Linked DNA regions of Nothobranchius furzeri. The protein of the gene in region 2 binds, or shares a complex with, the protein of the main gene of each other region. Links are inferred from orthologs where the notes say so. Each region holds a gene or a part of one and is shown on either strand. Other genes may lie near its edges.

Region 1 (7,917 bases), on a different chromosome or scaffold from region 2:
GTGTTTGGAAACACGACCTTCCTCTTCTAAAGTCCCGTATGACGAGCTGCAGAGACATTTCTAGAATAAACACTGACCGAACTTTCACTGTTTGTTAGTGGTTTAGCGCTGATTTTATTCCCGTCTTTCCACACGTTGTTTCAGTCAGAACAGTTTTATTCGTTTCTGAAGAACATTATTGTGAATAGCATCAGCTTTAGCCCGAGTCTACATCGAGTGAGAAGAAGAGTGGAAATGGACGTGGGAGATTCGCAACAAAAGACGACCAGTCTGCTCATCAAAACGCCCAACGAGGCTCAGGAGGACCAGATAATAGAAGGGGTCCACTTGAGGTGGACCGTGAAGGACCTGAAGACGTATTTGTCGACTGTCTACAAAACCAAACCGGTGAGTTTAAAGTTAGCCGACAACTGTTAGCGGAACTTGGCTAAAGGGTGTGTTGTGGAATGTTTGGACCCCAGACCAGCTGCGAATTTAACAGCTGTCAGCCATTCCTCTGTCTTTATGGGCCAGTAGATGTTTGTTTTTATTTAATTTCCTCAGAAATGATCTGTTCAGGGATCTCACTTAGGTTAAATTTAGCTCAACATGTATTTTTAGAGATTCACGGCAGCAAAATTAGGTTTCTATTTTTTACTAATTAAGCTCTTATAGCACAAGGTATGGTATGAAAAATAATCTTCCATCCATTTATCCATTTTCATCCGCTAATCCGGAGTCGGGTCGCGGAGGCAGTAGCCTAAGTCGAGAGGCCCAGACTTCCCTCTCCCCAGCCACTTGGGCCAGCTCCTCCGGGGGAATCCCAAGGTGTTCCCTGGCCAGGTGAGAGACATAGTCCCTCCAGCGTGTCCTGGGTCTTCCTTTAGGTCTCCTCCTGGTTGGACGTGCCCACAAAACCTCACCAGGGAGGCTTCCAGGAGATATCCTGACCAGATACCCGAGCCACCTCAACTGGCTCCTCTCGACGTGGAGGAGCAGCGAGTCTACTCCGAGCCCCTCCCGAATGGCCGAGCTTCTCTCCCTATCTCTAATGGGCCATTCCCATCTGTACCGGGTCGGCCCGGGCCGGGTAGCCCCAGTCGGCCCCAGCCTGGCCCAGTTGATTCCACACATCCTTGCCTTAAGCCCATGTGGGCTGATTCTACCCACCAATCAGAGGCTTGCTCTAATGGAAGGTGTGAATTTGCTGTCAGCAGTGGGTGTGTTGGCCCTGGTCGGCCTGAAGCAGACCCCCTCGAGAAGAGGGCTGAGAATGAGCCTTGGTTGGCCCGGAAAAGTACCAGGCCACCCAGATATGTAAACAACCTACGCTACCCGGCCCGGGCCGACCCGGTACAGATGGGAATGGCCCATATGAGAGAGCCCAGCCACTCTTCATAGAAGACTTATTTTGGCCGCTTGTATCCGCGATCTTGTCCTTTCGGTCACTACCATGACCGCTCATGACCATAGGTGAGGGTAGGAACGTAGATCGACCGGTAAATCGAGAGCTTCTCCTTCTGACTCAGCTCTCTACCCTCTCATTCACTGGGGTAAACCCCAACGTACAGGCACCAAGATGGGGGGCAACTAGTATGCCCACCCCTGCTCGGCGCCTCTCAGTGGGAGCAACTCCAGACTGGTAGAAAGTCCAACCCCTCTCAAGGAAACTGGTTCTAGAGCCAGAGCCATGCGTTGAGGAGAGTCTGACTATATCTAGTCGGAACCTCTCAGCCTCACACACCAACTCAGGCTCCTTCCCCACCAGAGAGGTGACACTCCATGTGCCAAGAGCCAGCTTCTGTAGCCGAGGATCAGACCACCAAGGTCCCCGCCCTCGACTACCACCCGACACACACTGCACCCGACCCCTTTGGCCCCTCCCACGAGTGGTGAGCCCATGGGAAGAATATTCTTATTGGTTTATTGAGCCTCTGTTGTTAATCTGTTGTTTTTGTATTGTAAGTAGCAAATTCACAAGGTGTGATGTTCCTTCAGACTCCCAGAAGATGAAGGGATGATCAGAGAGATGAAAGGGTGCAGTTAGCTGATAAGACCTGTCCAACCATCAGGTGCTGTGAGATAAATGCTTAGTTTCCATGTAAAGTTAATGATTACTGATCAAGACCGTGTAACCTCTGGGTAATTCGCCATGTGTGTTTATATTTGTGAGCTGGCTCGGGCTGTGTTAAAGAACATGAACCTCATAAACTAACTTGTTTGTGTTTTTTAAAGGCCGTGTGCGATCAGAGGCTGATCTTCGCTGGCAAACTGCTCCCAGATCATCTACTCATCAAAGAGCTCTTCAGACAGGTCTGTATTCAGATTTTATTTTATTATTATTTTTTTTTTTATCCAAGTTCGTCTAGATCAGTGGGGTTCAATTCTGGTCCTGGTGCGCTGCATGTTGCAGCCATCCCCCATCTCCAGCACACCTGAATTACCTGTTCTGTTTGTTAATCACGCATGTAAATCAAACCAGGTGTGTTGGTGAAGCTAAACATAGAAAACAAACAGGTAGTAGCCCTCAGGGACCAGAACTGAAAAGCCCTTGTCTAGATTCATCTTAACACCCACCTGAATATCAGGTTGAACATATTTACATCAAACCGTTCACCATCACAAATGAACAGTTTTCAAACATTGCAATTATTTAATGTCTCTAGAATACGTTTATAAATCAACCTCTTCTGATAAACAGCCTCTAATTCCCAAATCCTCAGATTCCCGTTAGTTTAATAAATGTGGGACAGGATAATATTTCATGGATTGATTGTTATGGAGGTTTTCCGGGTCAGACTCTACTGTTCCATTTGGATCGGCTGTAAAACGACACCAGCGAGCTGACGAAAATGGGACAAATGGGTTCCTCTCATGTCTTTGGGTCAGCTACAGAGACCAACCACGTTTTTAGCACCGAGTAGTTAAGCAGATGAACCCGGGTTTACATTCGCAGGCTAAACCAGCGCCTGTTAAAGCTGTAGCCCAGCTTAGAGGAGACAACACGGACACTCGGCATCAGCAGAAGCCGCCAAACTACATACAAATAGAAGTAAACGCCTGAAAGCCGGCGTGGTGGTTTAATGAAATTCTCCATTTGGTTTGTAAATTTTCTTTCAGGAAACGAAACGAGCGCCTGTGCTGAGGTTGTTTGTGTTGTTGTTTCCTGCAGTAATCCGATAGATCCGGTATTTGTTAAATAATTCATAATATATCTGAACGAAACAATATTTGTTTGTTTTTAACAACCGAAGCAGCAAAAATGCAGACTTTAGGTTTTGCTATAACTTTTTTTATTGGGAAAAAAATAGATTTGGTGTCATGTACTGCGATTTTTCAACTAGGTTTTATTTTAAGGTGACCCTGTCCTGACTGTTGGACTCATGTGACCCGTAGCCAACATGGCTGACGGTCAAACTGTGTGTTGTGTTTACACTGTTCTGTCCTGTAGCTGCGGTTCAGCTGAACCTCTGTTAGCTCAACTGAACCTTTTCTGTTCATCTTGATGTTTAGCAGACTGGCGTCATTCACACGCTGCACCTGGTGTGTGCGATGAGGAACCCACCTGAAGGAGCGCTGAGAGCTGGCGCCAAGGTGAGCCTTGAAAAGCCCGAGTGGAGTTTTTTATTTTTTAAGTGATGCGGCTGAGTTTGGTGACGGATCACCATGTTTCTTAAAACTCAGAAGTTTAATGAACCTTCCGCCGCTTCTTTATGACACATTAAAGAGCAAGTCACCCCCTACCAGAGTATTACTCCGCTCCCACTTCCTGTTTGAAAAATGCAACAAATGCTGTTGCCTAGCAGACCGAGAGGGCGGAGCCGCTAACAAACACACACAGGCTCACAATGACATTGTGACATCATGTGTGTAATGATTTAATTTACATGTTATTTAATGAGCCATAAGACACAAGATTCCATAGCAAATATGAAATCAACCTCATGGATCTGTGGGTGCTGTTTAACCAGAAGATTGGAACTTTTTATTGCAGGGATTATGTAACAGCCTCGTATTAATTCAGAGACAACAGAAGAGAGAGTCAAGTTTAAAAGTTTAAAGATTTATTACTAAACAAATTAAACTAGACTAATTTTAACACTAAATGTATGGTGTAACTAAGGTGAATGAGACGGAGCATGGTGTAATGTGGAATGTTGCTCAGAACCAGCAAATCCAAAGAAACGATTAGTTCTGATGGGAACTGAAGGTGATGTCTTCACGTTAAGCTTTGGTTAGGAGATTCATAAACACATTCAACGCCGTTCTGTCGGTCTACATACCCTTAGCGGAAGTCCCCGTTAGATCAGGAGGTGTAGAGGTCCAGCTTGACCTTTATGGAGCCGAAGCCTGTAGAAACAGCTGCGGCAGCTAACCACCAGTCTTTAGATACTTCCAGGTCACGACAATTTGTTGGCATCTAGCGAGACCCAAACCTGGGTCGTGATGGTTCAGCTTTTATTCTGAAAGGAACCGTTGCAGCAGGTGGAACAGCAACAGATTTTATCCAGCTTGTCGTTGGTTCTTTCGGCTGAAGAGGAAAGTTACGGATTGGCCACTCCGACAACTTCTCTAGAACGCTTTGAACTGGTGTTAAAGATGACGTGGGCATAGTTTTATACTTCGGATGTTTTGGTTTATGGTCGAATGAAAAGATGACAGATTTACCAAACACCACCAAAACCACGCCTCCAGCAGATCTGGCAGATTCTGATTGGATCAGTAAAGTAATGTGTCATGTCTTAACGCTACGTGAGATCAGTCCTAGTGGAAACATTTAAAGTCATATTACTTATTATATTCTATAGGATTATAATAAAGTAATTAATATTTTCATGTCACAGATTGGTTCACATTTTATTATTGACTAACACTTTGTTTGATTAGCTTATTAAAAATAGAGTTATTTGATTTATTAAAAGGAGAGAGTCCTTTCTTCATTCTTCTCTTGAGCTGGAAAGAAGCAGTTTATAACAAATGCATGAGACCTTGAGGCCGTATCTCATGCAGACTAGTTCTGTGTCAGAGGAGAGGGGGAAATGACTTTTGGTGGAAAACAGTCATTTCATACCGTTACATATGGTACCAGCTAACATTCTAGGGTACCTCTTAGCCAATAGCGATGGCAGATTTAAATTCAACTGCAGTGCAGAGTTTTTACCTGACAACGGCACAACACTGACAGTTTTAGGCAGAAAATTAAAATTTTAACTAAAATGCACTAAAGTGCAAAACTATTGACGACACGTGTCTGCAGCACGATTAGACACACATTTATATAGTTTATCAGAAAAAAGTTGATTTGGGGGGTGACTTGCTCTTTAAGCAAATTGGCAGTTTCAGTCTGTTCTGGTTTTTTCAACCTGAACGTCTTTATTTTAATACAAATACTAACTTGAAGTAAAAGCTCACGTTTATGAATCTATTGTGAGTAAAATGTTGTGCAAACGTGAACTGTGAAGTTTTTATCCATTTTTTAAAATCTTAATATGATTTTATTAGCTTTAGGATAGGGTTTTAAAAACAACGTCTGTTTTTTTGTCAGAATCAAAACGGAAACTATTTAATAAGCAAATGTAGGACATGTGAGAGCAGCAGATGTTCTTCCTCACCGCGTCCTTCATCACCAACCTGCTGTGAAGCACAACGGTTTCAAGATCAGTCACTAAAGATAAATAAATTAGTGTCACTCTGCTCAGTTTTAATACTTTAAGTCTTTTTGTTTGTCCTGATAAAATAAGTCTTTACATATTTGTCTCGCAGTTCTGGTTTTCTGGTGTCGTTCTTTAAATTCTGATTTCCTCTGCAGACCAAAGAGGCAGATCAAGCACGTCCTTCTGGTCTGAGGTCTTCTGCAGCTCCGCTGGTTCAGAACCCGAGCACGCCAGAGCTGAGGCAGAGGAGGCAAACTTCGTCGTCGTCGTCTGCTTCTCCAACCCCAGCATCTCCACAGGAAAGTCCTGCACGGCCCACTCCGACCACGTAAGTGATGTGAATAACAGACAGCAGGAAGAAGCTGCATGAAGGGTGAATGTTCAGCTGCTTTAGCAAAATGCATCAATGTGCAGCTTCTTACTAACGCTTTAGGAGGAGTTTGCTCACCGATTTTGTAGTTGATGATAGAAACGAGCTTTTCCTGGTCAAAAGTTCAGGTTTTGTCTCTCTGCAGGCCTGGAGCATCACAGCTGACACACCCAGCCTTTCCCCACTTCTCCCTGTACAGCCCTCAGCAGCTGCTGTGGCTCCAACACGTCTACGCCAGACAGTATTACATGCAGTAGTGAGTGTTCACACACACACACACACGCACGCACTAAAGTAGTCCATGGTATTCTCTAAATCCGATTTTCCGTCCACAGCCACGCAGCTCTGGCAGCAGCGGGGTCTGCTCCATCAACACCTGCAGCAACCTTTGGTCCGTACCCACATGTCCCCGCCCACCAAGTACCCGTCCCAGCTCCCATAGCCAATCAGAACCCCATCGACAACCTGCCGGCGAATCAGAACCCCGTGCAGGACGCCGCCTTCATCAATCCTGGGGAGGCCAACCAGAACATGCGTATGAACGCGCAGGGTGGGCCGGTGATGGAGGACGAGGAGGACGTGGAACGCGATTGGCTGGACTGGCTGTACTCGGCAGCGAGATTCGGCGTTCTGCTCATGATCGTGTATTTCAACTCCAGTCTGAGTCGCTTCCTGCTGGTGATGAGCACGCTCTTCTTCATGTACCTGTGAGTTCAGCCAGCTCCACCCAACAGAGGGTTGGTTGGTTGTATAAAGTTAAAAACAGACATTAAAATGCAAAGTATGTAGTTACGAACATGCATTTCTCACTGAATATTTGATTCAGCTGAAGAGAAAAATCTTGGCTCAACAATCATAAAATCCATCAAAGCCATAAACCCAGATAAGGTTTTTTCTTTAACTTGCTGACGTTTCGTTTGCGGCTGCGAACTTCCTGAGCTGGCGCTGGTGGTGGCGTCACTTTCTTCTCCGTTTATCCGCGTTGTAAAAGAGATTACAGTAGAAGACAACGACATACTCATCTCACATGACGTCACATCTCTGTTCACAAAAACACCAACCCAAAAAACCAAAGACGTAGTAGTTAACAGAATCAGACAGGACAAGACTTTACATAAAGGAACAACCCTCACAGCAGACGACATAGCACAACTGATAGGACTGGTAGCTAACTCCACTTACTTCACATACGACGACACAATATACAAACAACTGGAAGGCTTCGCCATGGGTAACCCGTTATCAGCCACCCTGTGCCAGTTTTTCGTGGAAGACCTGGAGCAAAAAGCCATAGCCACTGCCCCCCCCCCAAACTGCTAAATGAAACTATGGAAACACTGCGTAGATGACATACTGGAAATCATACCAAAAGGACAAACGGAAACACTAACACAACCAGGGCTGCAACTAACGATTATTTTCATAATCGATTAATCTGTCGATTATTTTTTCGATTAATTGGTTTGTTATTGTTTAGCTATTTAACCTATTCAAGTGATGGATACATTTCAGTTAAGAAAAAGAAAAGCATAAGAGAATTGTGCAGTTGACTGCAATCGATTTTATTGCACATGAACACAGTCAGCGGTGTAAAATGAGCTAAACGGTGCAAAATATCAGTCCAGAAAAATTTTTTGGCATCAAAATTTAACTTGTAACTGCTTTTAATGATTGAGTGTTTTTATCATTGTCCTTAAGTTGTAACAGTTTTTATTTTTTGCTGCCTCTTGGCCAGGACACCCTTGTAAAAGAGGTTCTTAACCTCAATGGGTCTCTATCCTGGTTAAATAAAGGTTAAATAAATAAAAAAAAATATATATATAAGAGGTAAATTCCATAAAAAATAATGTAGAATCTAGAATAGAGTTTGTAAGTGTATGCATTGCTGGGGGGTGAGTGTCTTGTTCCCCATGT
Region 2 (8,374 bases):
ACATTACAAAAGTCAGAAGCAGAGACTTTGATGACTTAAAGAGGGTAAGCCAGTCTCAAACTCACTTAAAAGAATCTCTTACAAGAACACGCCCCTAATCTGCTCGTTGCCACGACAACGGCAGCACCTGCTCATGATTGGTAGCTCTGAGAGCTGCACGTGGAGCTCCGGCTTCAAATAGCCAAAATTTGCAAAGCGTCGTGATCCCCCATCTGAGCTTCAGCCGTGGTCTGTGGAGGAGCCCGAGCTTGTTCTGGTCATCATGGTGGAGCAGTTTGTAGGAACCTGGACTCTAGTCTCCAGCGACAACTTTGATGAGTACATGAAGGCAGTGGGTAGGTTCAGATGCTCGTCTGATTGGTTACAATGGCTTTTAATTAGGAATGAGTGTTAACTGATGTGAACATGTTGCGTCTTAATTAAAACTGTTTTTATTGAAGGGATGAGCTTTGCCACTCGCCAAATGGGCAACTTGGCTAAACCTAAGCTAGTGATCAGCCTTGCAGCTGATGGGGTCATCACGATGAAGGCTGAGAGTACTCTGAAGACCGCAGAGGTCAAGTTTAAGCTGAATGAAGAGGTGGATGAGACGACAGCAGATGGACGCAAAGCCAAGGTCAGCACTCTGCATCAACTTCATCTTTGCACCTTTTAAAGTTTGATAACTTTCTAACCTAAGCTGCTTTACCTGAAGTCCATCTTCACTCTGGAGAACGGTAAGCTCATGCAGAAACAGTCCTGGGATGGGAAGATGACCACGCTGGAACGGGAGATCCAAGATGGGAAGCTCACTGCTGTGAGTAAACCGTCACCCTCTCTAGGTGATGGCCCTCGGCACCATGACTGTTCCATCTTGAATAATGAAACTTTTTTTTTTTAATGCAGAAATGTGTCATGGACGACGTGGTCGCTGTGAGGACGTACGAGAAAGCGGCATAAGAAAAATGCACTGAGCTGTTGAACATGAAAATAAAACTTGAACCATGAGGTTTCTGTTCGTTTATTTATCAAATGTATTTTTGTCTGAAGTGGAGCTTTGGCAGCTTAAATGTATTATAATGTTTGGGCTTCGTCCACGATTCCCGAGAATCTGCCCGTTGTTGGCGGTTTATGAACGACATGCTGACGACCAGTGAAGTGTGGTAATTTGCTGCTGAAAGGGATCCAGTTGGAGGCGTTTCAAACATTGCCCAAGTGCACAAAGGCTTTCTGTTGAAGCACACAACATGAGGGCCTTATGACATGGATTTGAGTGAATTGGGGGGGGCAGGCCCAGTTCCTGTTGGAGGTTTAGGGCTGTGACCCCCGGTTTGTGGGAAGCCTCTTATCCACGATGCACAGACGCAGCTTAGAGCAGGTTTGTGGAATTAGTCTCGATTAGGGTTCTTTGTAGAATTGGGTCAAACATGAATCAACGTTAGCAGCCAGGTGGTCTGAATCAGAGGGATGCATTTAAGTCTTTCATGTTCCGCACCGATGGAGCAGAGACCGTTGACTTATTTCCAACTAAAACAATGAACGGAGGATTACGTTTGAGTCGGTGCAGACTTGCTTTGAAATGGCTTTATCCATAAATACAATCACTGCCTCAGCTCTTGTATTCTAAACCATTGTGGTCATGAATGAACCCATGTCTTATTTTAAAATTCAGCCATAAGGTTCCAGGTTCTAATAAGGATAAATGATTTATGTGAGGACTAGTTTTATACGTATGTAAATAATCCATCCAAACTTGTCCACTAATCCTGACTAAATCAGTCACAGGAAATCACTGAACGTTTATGCAGCACTTCCTGCCTACAGACAACATGGCTGCAGGAATAATCTCATTCAAATCCAATAGTCTTAAGGTGAATCAAAAGGCTGTTCCTCCCATATTTTCAGCGCAGGTAAATAAGCGTAAACAAGTAAAGGTTTACCAAGTTAAAAGAACGACAAGCTGAGGTTAGATTTTGCAGAATCTAGAGGGAGTATAAATCCCAAGATGGGAACACCTAAACACCTAAAAAGCCCTGGATCATGACACCAACTTGTCTTTTTGTTGTACGTTAGTGGAGAACTTGAAGAGCTTGCTGGACAAGAGTCGCTGTGTCGGAGCTGTATTTTTAGATCTGAAGAAGGCGTTCGACTCCGTAAACCATCAGATGTTGTTGTCCAGATTGACTCAGTTTAATATCTCCAGTCAGGCGCTTCAGTGGTTTGCCTCATATCTCTCACACAGGAAACAGTTTGTGGTGTGGGATGGGGTTAAATCTCCATATTTAGACTGTGATACAGGAGTTCCTCAAGGATCTGTTCTTGGGCATTTATTGTTCTCTCTTTTTATTAATAACTTACCTGAAGTCTGTCCAGACATATTTGCTCAAATGTATGCGGATGATGCAGTTATATTTACGCAAGCAAACAGTGTCCAGCAGGTGGCAAAAGATCTTACAGCTGCTTTAGCATTAATGCTTAGCTGGCTGGAGGACTCATGCCTAATGTTGAACACCTCAAAAACTGTCTGCATGTTTTTTTCAAAACGCCCCTTAAACTAGAAGCAGTCAAATATATTCCTGGATGGAGTAGAGCTTGATCTAGCACCAGAATTTAAATATCTTGGGGTAATTCTAGACCCAACATTATCCTTCAAGAGTCATATAAATAAAGTGTCCCAGGTACTTAAATTTAATAATCTAAATTTTACTCATATACGTAATAATCTAAATATGAATGTTGCAAAAACTTATTTTTACTCGATGATCATCTCTCATACGGACTATTGTTTGACATCCTGGTCACTTGCTTGTCCAACAACACTTAAAACTAGTGCAAACATTTATAAAAGTTTAAAATTACTTGACAAAAACCGACTTCCCACCACCATTGTCATGTGTTAAAAAACATAAATTACTGAACTTCACTAACTTAATGAAACTTAAAAGAGTCTGTTTAATATATAAAGTCTTACACTCCCTTGCTCCACCACCACTAAAGCAGTTCATTAGGCATAAAGAAAGCTCAAACAGGACTACACGAGCTACAATTCGAGGAGAAATGTTTATACCACATAGACAGACATCTTTTGGGCAGAACGTCCTCTGTCAAGGGTGGCCATCTGTGGAACAGTCTTCCTCAACCCATTAGAGAATGCTCGACTCAAGGCAAAGGTTAAAAACTGGTTATGGACAAATCAAGTGTGTGATCATGTATGAGTTTTATAGTTTTAATGTTTCATTTGTGAATAGAATGGTGTGTATGTGTAAGTTTGGTGAAGGAGTTTTTATTATGAATGAATGATGAATTTTTATGAATTATTATGTCTTTTTATGTCAACAGATGGAAATTAGAATTTTTGGCTATAATCTGGCATGTTTACATTCATGTAAGCTGCTTTATGTTCATTAACATGCACTGTCCAAAATAAACAAATAAATAAAGATAATGCGGTCAAACTGAAACTGTAACAGCGAAACCCTGACCTCCTGTGGCCGTGTCTAGTAGTGCAGCTACTGATTGGACTGTACCACTATGTGCTGAAAAGCGGGGGAGGGGCTGAAGTTCTCCTGCTAAATAAATGCTTTATTAAAAGTTTTCACCTTATAAGCTTTTGTATATCAGCTGTTAACCTCTCATCAAATATGTATAATCGATAACTATTTGTTTTCACTTCTGTTTAGCTTCTTTCTAAATGATTTGGCATCAATGACGTTTTACGACGTTACGGTGCTTGTAAACATGGCGGACATGAACAACAAAGCTGTGGAAGTGGATGAAGGAGAAAATAAACCTTCTGGTAAAGATGTAATCCGTGGTTCAGACAACCAGAAGAAACCTTCCGCTGACGGTGGAACCACAGCGGAGTACTGCGAGAAGCTGCAGACATGGATGTGGCAGTACTACGCTGGCTATGTGAACTGGCAGAGCTGGCTAGCGGCGTCGGCGGTGTCCTGCCCTTATTTACAGCCACCCAGCGGAACCCCCACGGCTGGTGACTGGCATGCCGGCCCACTCGGGCTTCCGTTGTTGCCGTATCCACCTGCGGTCAGCCGAGCGGGTGAAGCCCCCGTCGGCGCTGCCGCGCAGCAGCACCAACCGCCGCCTCAAGCTAACGGAAACGCGCAGAGACCGGGTAAACGCTGCAGCTGGTTCATGTCCAAACGTTCACTTGTGACCACACACCCAAACATGCTCTTCGTTTAATAAAAAGTAGGAGTTACGGTACGGTTCACTACGGGCTGGGATAAGACTGAAAGCTTTTCAGAAGGCCAAATGTATTATTTTATAGTTTGTGACCTGAACGCAACACGAGTAGTGAGTGGCTTTTGCGGCCGGGTTATGACGTCACACCAGGACAGCGATGAATGAAACTTGTGAAGTGAAATAAAGACAAACCGTTGATGAGACATCTAAAGTGTTCACTAAAGCCACGTTTAGCACCTTCTGGAACATTCTGTCGTCGACTCTCTTGTTTTTATTCAGGTTAAACTCCAATTATGACTCAGATGATGACTGAATCAGACCGCGTTGACACTAGTAAGGTTAATGTGACGTTTGTGTCTCACTTTTGGGAAAATAAACCTTGAACGTTTGGTTTCTCAGCCTCTGAAGGACTAAAACTTACCGCTGTGTCTCGCTTCCACCAGGGCGGGAGTACAGCATCCCCTCTCCTCTCCAGAGACTCATGGCGGAGATGGTGGACTTCTTCATCTTGTTTTTCATCAAAGCTTCTATAATCATCAGTATTATGCATCTGAGTGGAATCAAGTGGGTTAATTAGATTTGGTGTAAACAGCGTTGTCATGACAACAGAAACACCATGACCATAACATTTGGATTTTTTTGTCTTTTCCATTGTTTTTAGGGATGTTTCCAAGTTTGCCATGCATTTGATCGTGGAGGAGATCGACGAGGACACGTCGATGGAGGAGCTGCAGAAGATGATGCTTGTTGCTCTAGTGTACCGGATCTTGGTGTGTTTTTATGAGGTGAGGCTCACTGCCGGTTTAGACTCAAGTCTGTGTTTTAAACGTTTTAGGAAGACTCGAGGTGAACTTTCACGCTTTTCTCCTGTCAGATTGTGTGCATCTGGGGAGCAGGAGGTGCCACGCCAGGGAAGTTTCTCCTCGGACTCAGAGTCGTTACGTGTGACTCGTCGGTTCTGGTTCAGCCCAACAGGGTGCTCGTGGTGCCAGCCACTAACGTCTCTCTCTCTGCGTGAGTGGCTCGTTTATGTTTCAGGGAGCTGTCTAAGGAGGCGGTTGGGAAGACTGAACTCTTGTTTCTGTCCGTCCTTCCAGATCAACTGTCCGGGCTTTGAATAAGAACTTCTCCATAGCCTTCTTCTTCCCAGCCTTCATCACACTCCTCTTCTTCCAGCACAACAGGACTGTGTATGATATGGTTGCCGGTACCATCGTTGTCAAGCGATCCAGAGCCAGATGACGCAGAACGGGACGCGTAAAATGACTCTGATGTTTTAGTGAAGCGGCTCCCAGAGCCACTGCTGTGTTCACGCGTCGCAGCAGAGTTCAGGCGTTTGCTGGGAGCCCGCATCCGTAAGAACTGCTTCCGTTCATCGTGACCAGCACTGTTTTTCTGCATGCATGTCCAGATAATGTTTCCGGTGTCTCCTCCTGGACCAACAGGAAGGATGATGGGGATTTAGCCCGTTTTCGGCACAAGTTGCACCTTCACTTCTGTGTGAGGCGAAGGGCGAGTGCCGCCCGCTGCTCAGTATTTAAGCCGCTGATGATTTCGTATTTCACCCCCAGTATCTGGCCGTTTCCGCCGGTCTCCAAAGCGGACGAGAGGTCGTGTAAAATGCAAACACGAAAAGTTCTTTTCTTGGAAAGGTGTGCATAGATTTAGGTTTGATTTGATCCGCCCTGTTTAAGGCTGAGATGGAGGCACATTTAAAGGTTTTTCTCTGTAAGCCGAGGTGTATCGGACGCTAAATGTTAACCGTTTATGTATTTCATTAGCATTTCTGAATGTTCTCTGAATAAAACCAGGCCTGTGGCTCTGAAAGCATGAACTCTTGTGCATTTATACTTTGTGTGAGTTACACGGGCCACGTGTGCTAAAGCAGCACACGTATGGTTGGTTATGTGAGGAATTCTGTTTCCACGTGTTTTCTTCTCACATTCATGTTTTATTTGTGTTTCTAGATAAAAGATTTCCAACGTGCTCTTAGCTTATCGGTTTTGGTTCAGGTCCTGCAGATTGCAGCCTTTCTCCTATGAGTCTAGAGATGTTCTCCACCTTAAACAGCTAAAGCAGCAGGACATCTTTAACTGTCCCACTCATCCTTCTAACTGGGAGTCTAGTCGCCGACTGGTTCTGGGATGCTGTAGCTGTTTGTGTCTCAGCGTCTGTGATATTTGCTGCTATGAAAATGGACACAAATGTTTAAAGAGACAAAAATCATTTAAAATCATAGCTGTTCTCATGTTACACACGTCTCATGTGAATCAGGGCTGTAAGTACTTCAGACTGACGCTCTATACTCTCTCAGCAGTTATGAATCATACCTCATTAACAGTTTTTGAACTCTTAGCCGGTTGCTGTTTAAAGAGCAAGTCACCCCCAAATCTACTTTATTCCTGAAAAACTAAATGCGTGTCTAATCGTGCTGCAGACACGTGTAGTCAATAGTTTTGCACTTTAATGCATTTTGATTATGATTTTGATCTCCTGATAATAACTTTTTGCTTTCCTTGATATCGAATGTGCTACTGCTAGTTTACCCGTTTAATTATAGATCCACTAGGATAAATACAATAAAGTTTATCTCTCACCAAATAGAATATTTACTAAGAAATCACAATGTAACTATAGAAACACTACTTGGTGTGTGTGCACGTGTGTGTGTGTGTGCTCTATCTTCTCGATCCCCAGTGAGTCGTGGAGGATGGCTGCTTATACTGAGCCAGGATTCTCTGGAGGTTTCTTCCTGTTAAAAGAGAGTTTTCCTCTCCACTGTCGCTGCATGCTTGCTTAGTATGAGGATTGCTGTAAAGACTCTGACACTAGTCAGTGACTCGATGCGACCTGCTGGGTTCCTTATATAGGAAACATTATTTCGTATTGGCTTAATGAACTGACCTGAATTGGAATGTTTATTATGTGAAGTGCCTTGAGACGACTCTTGTCGTGATTTGGCGCTATATAAATAAACTTGAATTGAATTGAATGGAATTAAGCTTTTAATGTTCTGCCTAAAACTGTCAGTGTTGTGCCATTGTCAGGTAAAAACTGCACTGCAGTTGAACTTAAATCTGCCATCGCTATTGGCTAAGAGGTACCCTAGAACGTTAGCTGGTACCATATGATGTCACAATGTCGTTGTGAGCCTGTGTGTTTGTTAGTGGCTCCGCCCCCTCGATCTGCCAGGCGACAGAATTTGTTGCATTTTTTAAACAGGAAGTGGGAGCGGAGTAAGAATCTGGTAGGGGTGACTTGCTCTTTAAGCACGAATTCTTTTTGAATAAGCAAAAGATAATTTGGTCAAAACAAAAATGGCTGCTTGCAGGTCTAAGTTTATAAATCACGACCTTCAGCTGCAGGTTCTGACACGTTAAACTGATCTCACAATGCAGAAGGAATCAGAGTTACTAACAGGTGTCCTAACCTACGAAGGTCCTCTCGGGTTTGTCCAGGTTGGACATGAATGCTCCGTTTTCGTCTCCGCTGAAAGGAGTTATGTTTGTGACCGCGTCCCACGCTGGATGCCAAAAGTATCAAACAGATAAGATGAAAAGTGTGCAGAAATGCAATAAAACGATCCAAATATGAACCGTAAAGAAGTTCTACCTGCAGGTTATCAGATGAAAATGTACACCAGCTTCATGTGCAAAGAGGAAATAAAGTATAATCCCATGTTGGGATTATCTGCTGGGCGTGGGAATGAAGGAGGTCTTGAGTCGGGTTGCCCTGCGGTTTACATTCCCGTGCCTCCAGTCTGAAGGTAAACGTCCATGCTGGGATGGTGGGGTCTGTGATGATGACTTATGCTCTGCACAGAGGGCTGTGGAGTCCTGCTAATCCTTAGATTTCTCTATAAATCAGTTTTATTGTATAATCCTGGATGTTAAAGATCCGACTCGTTTATGTATGGAAGCCCTCAAACACATTTATCGTCAGCAGATCTCTTAGTTTGGCTCCATCTACTGTACGTTTGTCACTGCCACTCTTCACCTCGCTGCAGCCTGTTTGCTTCATTTTAGGTTAAAACATTTACATTTGATCTGTGAGTCGTCATCAGAGAGCCTTTAGCATCATCAGATCTTCGAGTAAAGGCATTTCTCTGCATAGATTCATACGTTCAGCCTCAGATGGTGCAGCGATTACAGCCGCAGCCCCACATGAGCCTGGCATGCTGCAGCAGAAACAG

Evidence for each region. Proteins that work in one complex are often made in the same cells at the same time.
Region 1: protein FAM8A1 (region 2) and herpud1 share a complex: the UniProt entries of both Homo sapiens proteins name them as parts of the HRD1 complex. The link is inferred for Nothobranchius furzeri from reciprocal best matches to the Homo sapiens genes FAM8A1 and HERPUD1.

What each region holds. Positions count from the first base shown.
Region 1 is NC_091744.1:85,516,590-85,524,506, forward strand, and holds part of herpud1 (homocysteine-responsive endoplasmic reticulum-resident ubiquitin-like domain member 1 protein), read left to right. Parts: 5' UTR 1-234; coding exon 235-387; intron 388-2,214; coding exon 2,215-2,292; intron 2,293-3,492; coding exon 3,493-3,573; intron 3,574-5,788; coding exon 5,789-5,961; intron 5,962-6,148; coding exon 6,149-6,259; intron 6,260-6,338; coding exon 6,339-6,710; intron 6,711-7,917. UniProt on the Homo sapiens protein: Component of the endoplasmic reticulum quality control (ERQC) system also called ER-associated degradation (ERAD) involved in ubiquitin-dependent degradation of misfolded endoplasmic reticulum proteins.
Region 2 is NC_091745.1:80,667,191-80,675,564, reverse strand, and holds protein FAM8A1, read left to right. Parts: upstream 1-3,538; 5' UTR 3,539-3,684; coding exon 3,685-4,111; intron 4,112-4,603; exon of another isoform or gene 4,604-4,625; coding exon 4,626-4,746; intron 4,747-4,843; coding exon 4,844-4,967; intron 4,968-5,056; coding exon 5,057-5,196; intron 5,197-5,279; coding exon 5,280-5,424; 3' UTR 5,425-6,016; downstream 6,017-8,374. Other genes in the region: myelin P2 protein, read left to right, coding at 263-335, 441-616, 695-796, 886-939. UniProt on the Homo sapiens protein: Plays a role in the assembly of the HRD1 complex, a complex involved in the ubiquitin-proteasome-dependent process of ER-associated degradation (ERAD).